2 linked regions of the Bombyx mori genome follow. The protein of the gene in region 1 purifies or fractionates together with the protein of each later gene. This does not show direct contact. Links are inferred from orthologs where the notes say so. Each region holds a gene or a part of one and is shown in the gene's direction. Other genes may lie near its edges.

Region 1 (2,810 bases):
GGATCAGCAATCGAAAAATTTACCATATTTTAAAAATATACTGCGTGTTAGGAGACCGCTTCCGAAAACGAAGACAGACGATACTACTAATGACAATTTTGATGAAGGGACAAAAAAAAGTCGATCCTAATTTAAAAAAAAAAACATATTTTTAAAACATTTTTTATTAGCATTATTTACGTTCCACCATGTTAGTACAGCTAAATGAAACGATAGTTTCATAAAAACCTTACTTTACTTTAAAAAAAAACCAGCAATGAAACACAAAATCAAAAACAACTGATGCTCGGATCAACGAACGCCCGGGCGCGGCGCTGATACCACGCTCCCCAAAATTTACTTTGTTTACTATCGTCTGTCTTCGTTTTCGGAAGCGGTCTCCTAACACCTAGTATATACCACTAACGCCGACTCCACACGTTGGCCTCAACATAGGCCCCAACGCCACTCGCCCAACGTGTGGATTTAGAAAATAGCATTGGCCCCAACGTTGGTGCGATCATTGGTAGTTGGTTGTCAAGTGTCGGTTTTATCAAAGGAATCTGTGCCAACGTTCGCGCTCCGTCCACATGTGTGACATGTTGGCGCTTTGCTTAGTCCTGTTGCAACGCGCGTCGAGTTTGCATGTCGCGATGTCATCCACCATCTCTTTTGACGTGGGTTTTTCTTGTTTTTCAATAACAAATATAAATTATACGCACTCGGTACTGTAAAAGCGGTTAGAGCAATTTCAATTTCGGTATCGCACAATTTCACGTTGGCTCTGACGGAAAGGAACTAGTATAACAGCCAACGTCTGGACACTTCACCAGTTTAACCCCTCAACGTTGGTAGCAACGTTGGGGCCAACGTGTGGAGCCGGTGTAACACATGACACACAGTTTATCTAACTTTAAAAGTTACCCATTCCAGGTAGTAGGCCATCGCGAAGGTCTCGAGATGATGGAGTCGGCGGACCCCTTGGTTTTACTCGTGCTACTGCCCACGATCCCAGTGACCCTCATCAGTGCGAAGATGTATAACTGGGAGGATTCCGTTCTCCTGTTCCTCAGGAAGTACTGCGCTAAGATACCTGTCTTGGCTTATATTCTGCCTTTCGGAAAGTGAGTATATGAACTATCGGTGTGCTCATAGGTGTAGATGTCGTATGGGAAGGGTTTATCTTCGGCACCTGTTGACTGCGTTGTTGGTTACTTGTGATTGTGACCAGAGAAGCTTTTTTTTCTATAAGACTAAATAGTTCATCTTTATTATTGTTCTAAGGGGTCCGATTACGGTGCAACATACAATATAACACGACTAATAAGCATAGCTTAGCTAAGCGTACCTTAGTTTGGAGCATTCATGAAGCAGCTGCCCTTGAGTTGTTAGGTCTCCTTTGGAGGCGCTAGGGCGGCTGTTAGATAATCCCATCCCAACTAGCTGAGCCCTTGCTAACCGACCTGTCTTGGTGAAACTGGAAAGGCCTCCGGGCCACCGGTAATCCGTTCTTAAAAAACCTTAGTTTGGTGTTACTCATCAATTAGGGTGTGTTTCGTATTAACCCATAGACACAGCCTACTGGGTTTCTCACCGGATCTTCTCAGTGGGTCGCGTTTCCGATCCGGTGGTAGATTCTGCGAAGCACTGCTTTTGCTAGGGTTGTGTTAGCAACCTCCGGTTTGAGCGCCGAGAGCTCACCTACACGCTGGCGTGAAGCTAAAATAGCCTCTCAAGCCTATCAGCCAGAAAAAAATAGTGTGTTTCGAGAAAACTTTCCTGATTCTGCTGCATTAGAATTTGCCAAATTAGTTAACCGTCATTCGACGTTTTTTTTTTGCTTAGATGGGTGGACGAGCTCACAGCCCACCTGGTGTTAAGTGGTTACTGGAGCCCATAGACATTCACAACGTAAATGCGCCACCCACCTTGAGATATAAGTTCTAAGGTCTCAAGTATAGTTACAACGGCTGCCTCACCCTTCAAACCGAAACGCATTACTGCTTCACGGCAGAAATAGGCAGGGTGGTGGTACCCACCCGCGCGGATTAGAGGTCCTACCACCAGGAAAATTAGTTTAAAATATAAATAACAGAGTTGAAAATACAAATTTCTCTCATTGCAGCGTAGACAATGATCGCGCTATAGTGGCCGGTCAGACGACGCCACAGAACCCAAACGCGAGCCATCTATCCCCGACAAGGATATTCTGTTCGGCTCTGTTGCTACCAACGATATCGACGATCATAGGAAAGATATTCTTCCGTTCGATACAGAATAACCTCCACAGAACAATGCTCGGAGGCCTGACTTATATCACGTTGAAAGGGGCCTTGAAAATATATCACAAACAAATGCTGTACGTGAGGCATTCCAGTAGAAAGATATTGGATTACACGGAATCTAATTTGAAATTATACAGGAATTCGACAACCCTAGCGACCGATGCCGTTTCCAGTAGGGACGACAGCGAACAAGTCGTTTGAAACTAAACTAGTCGCGTAATGGAATTCAATTATAATATTTTTGTTCGTTTTTTTTGTTTTCAGAATATATTATTATGTAAAAAATCGATTTTATTAATCGTTATCAAGTATTGTTTGATGAAATATAAATTTGGGGTGTATAGAAAAAAAAAATTCAAAATTCCCAAATTTTATTATTTGAAATCGTTATGTAATTAATATGTTCTGAATATATGTGTGTATAAAAATACGACTTACAGCTTAAGATTTGTACGTAATTGTTTGTATATATTAAAAATGTTAGGTCGTTGTCTTTAATTTGGTAATTATAAAATGCGATAATTTTTATTAAAAATAACTTTGGAT
Region 2 (3,523 bases), on another chromosome or scaffold:
GTATTCGTCGCCAGGTTTGACCCGCATGGACATTTTGACCGCGATCCGCAACGCTACAGGCCCTAGACCGGCTTTATTCGTCCCTGAGGTATCTTTTGAGCTTCTGGTCAAGCGACAGATTAGAAGACTGGAAGACCCTTCGTTACGTTGTGTTGAACTGGTATGCTTATTGTTAATAATCTTAAAAATATTTACAAAATATTAAAATTAAAAATATATTTCAAACATATTAAATAATAATTATTATTAGGCAAATTAATATACATTAGTAATATATCGCTTACTTATTTGAAAATTTAATTAAATTTCATTCTTAAATGAACGACTCATAGTAGTCATTACACAGCTATACCATGATCATACACTCATTATTTTATGTTGCTGTTGTTGACCACTAGAACGTTATTTAATTATTCTGCTGTCTGTACACTACTATATAGGTTTACTTTTAGTGCTATATATTAAGCAGTAGATAGAGCATTTGAAATTTTATACCTACCGTGAACATTTCCAGAACTGCCCTTCGTATATGTTATAGGACTACACCCTGTATTTACATGATTATTATGAATAAATTTCATAGCCATAGTATATTTTTACCACACCCTGTATTTACTTACATGACTATTATGCTTAAATTTCATTAATGGTATTTATTAGCCATAGTATATTTTTTTACTAATGCCTTTTCACCCAATTGTAAACAAGCATTATATTCGTTTATTTCAACACACAGGTACACGAAGAAATGCAGAGGATCGTTCAGCACTGTGGCACAGAAGTCCAGCAGGAAATGCTACGTTTCCCACGCCTGCACCAGCGCATCGTCGACGTCGTCACGCAGCTGCTGAGGACTAGATTGCCTCCGACCAATTCTATGGTAAGTCGATTTGTTATACAGCATTCATAATACACCATTGTATCGAAAGCGCCAACGAAAATGATAGACAATCCTGATACGACCTATATCCTGCTATATATCCTTTTTATTTATTTATTTTTTATTGCTTTGGTGGGTGGACGAGCTCACAGCCCACCTGGTGTTAAGTGGTTACTGAAGCCCATAGACATCTACAACGTAAATGCGCCAGCCACCTTCAGATATAAGTTCTAAAGTCTCAAGTATAGTTACAACGGCTGCCCCACCCTTCAAACCGAAACGCATTACTGCTTCACGGCAGAAATAGGCAGAGTGGTGGTACCTACAAGAAGTCCTACCACCAATAATTCTGTCGTCATTCAGTATCAATGCTGTGGGTAGATGTTATGCGCCTCACGGGCAATCGCCACTTATCTCGGTTTGTGGTGAGCTTGATACGCTCATGTAAACAACCGCCAACCGCCGACTTTACTTTGTCGATCGATCGCATGGGCAACCTTCCACGCGGTCTGGTGCCTCTTACTTTGCCCTGAACGACAAAGCGCTCTATGGAGTCATTTCCTCGCCGGGAGATATGTCCAAAAAATGATAGTATGCGACAAGCTGTAATTTTATCTGATGGTTCGTAGAACATACAGTCAGAGACCATCGCTTTACAACCCGTATAGCTTTATCTGTTTCCAGTTGTAAAAGCTGACGCATAGTATCTTGTTTAACTAACTTTACTAATTTAATTTATAGTATTTATAGTAACTAGTTTAATCCTTGCTTGCGAAAATTTTCATTTATCAAAATTATTTTTAATAATGTACAAGTGTAAATGTTGTGCTGCTTGCCAGTAATAGTCATAGTATTATCGCGCTTTCTTTTATTTTATTTTATTTTCTTTGTTGTTTCGTTGTAGGCTGCCCACAGGTTGTTATTACTGTGTGTGCTTATGTATGTTTTGTATTCGGGTTCACCATTTAATTTGATTTTTGTTTCGTTTTTTTATACTAGTTTATACCATGTTTTAAGTCTGTACACACGTACCTAGCCTTCATTCCCGCAAAGAACCAAAGGGAAACGGGGGTGACTGAAAATCAGCGCTGTTCGATTTATCGACCTTGAACAGCATTAGCTGAGCCATCTCCTTTTGCCTTTTTCTCTTTTTTTTCTTCTCTTTTATTAGTATTTTATTTTGTTTAGAATGTGAAAGGCAATAAATGATTTTATGATTATTATTATTATTGTTGTAGGTGGAGAACCTGGTGGCTATCGAGCTTGCGTACATAAACACGAAGCACCCCGACTTCCACCGCGAGGCGGCGCTGGTGTCCGGCCTGCTGAAGAGCGGCGACGACGACCACAGTCCCGTCTATAGACACAAGACTCCCAGGCCTTCTCCCTCACCGGTATCCAACTTGATCAAAGTAAAACCGCTTATTATGAACACGTCTGATGTTTCACTAATTATACTAAGCCTACACGTGTGTTGTGACTGTGTGTGCGTATAATTAGAAGGAAAAAAAGGTTTTATATTAACTTTACCAAGCAAAGCATGCAATTGGAACTTCACTTAAAATATTACTAAACACTGTTTGCATCTTTAAAACAAAAACTGAGTACTGATACACTCAAAAACTATCGAGAGTCGTTATATTTTTATTCAGAATCATTTATATATGCCGTATACGCATATGTCGTGTTTGTTTGTTTTAAAAAAAAACTTATCATCAAATCATTGAAAATTTTACATAAACATGCATCTACCCAGGTAAGTTTTATTCACAATTGTTTGTATTAACAACGACTAACGGTAATTTTAGTGTCGGTTCGAATCTTAAATTACATTTTTTTAAACTTTTGCGGCTATCCCCATTAAACGCACTATTATTAAGACTTTCCTTTACCCGACAAGATCCAATTACGGTTCGACTCGCTGGATTCGAGTGGTAACATCAAAAATGGACTAAAGAAAAGCTGAATATATTTGTTTGTTAACAACAGTTTTTTTTTATGACCTGGTGACAGAGACCTTTAGGTCATATCTTATTTGGAAAATTTTCATTACTTTGGGTTAACAACACCTTATCTGCAGTCTTCAATCTACCCTACAGCAACTAAAAATCGTAGTATGACAAGCCGTTAAGTAATAATGTGTATTATCTAAACCAGAACTGTCCAGAAAACGACTTGTTATCATGCGGCCCGCGACGCATGTTTTAATCAGAAAATAGTTTTGAATATAAATAGTATGGACAATAGAATTCTTTGTCAAATCATATAATCATTATTTGGTATTATTTATCTGTATTCTTGTAACATACCATTCCCATGACATCATTTAAAAGTGAAGTTATCTTTTACATAATTTTTTTTTTAATATTTTAGTCTGGAAAGTATTTTGTTTTTGAAAATATTTTTTTCTGCGGCCCCTTCCAGCTTTTTTAGTAAATTTAATTAGCCCGCAAAGGTATGTAATTTGGACGGCCCTCATCTAAACGATATGTTAAGGTTATATAAATTACTATCTCGAAATTTTTGTAGCTGTTTCTCCGACAAATGGGTGAAAGAGGGTCCGCCCTAGTATTCTTGGCAAGCGTATTGGACGCGTACAAGGTAATTGTGGCGTGGTTATATTCGGGTCGCCATTAACTCGCC

What was found. Proteins that work in one complex are often made in the same cells at the same time.
Region 2: the proteins of E3 ubiquitin-protein ligase MARCHF5 (region 1) and dynamin-1-like protein purify together in Homo sapiens (affinity purification with western blotting, with the first as the bait; 3 studies listed by BioGRID). This does not show direct contact. The link is inferred for Bombyx mori from reciprocal best matches to the Homo sapiens genes MARCHF5 and DNM1L.

Annotation. Positions count from the first base shown.
Region 1 is NC_085132.1:5,309,518-5,312,327, reverse strand, and holds part of E3 ubiquitin-protein ligase MARCHF5, read left to right. Parts: intron 1-912; coding exon 913-1,103; intron 1,104-2,104; coding exon 2,105-2,465; 3' UTR 2,466-2,810. UniProt on the Homo sapiens protein: Mitochondrial E3 ubiquitin-protein ligase that plays a crucial role in the control of mitochondrial morphology by acting as a positive regulator of mitochondrial fission and as an important regulator of immune response.
Region 2 is NC_085119.1:10,597,229-10,600,751, reverse strand, and holds part of dynamin-1-like protein, read left to right. Parts: intron 1-14; coding exon 15-160; intron 161-736; coding exon 737-880; intron 881-2,118; coding exon 2,119-2,292; intron 2,293-3,409; coding exon 3,410-3,481; intron 3,482-3,523. UniProt on the Homo sapiens protein: Functions in mitochondrial and peroxisomal division.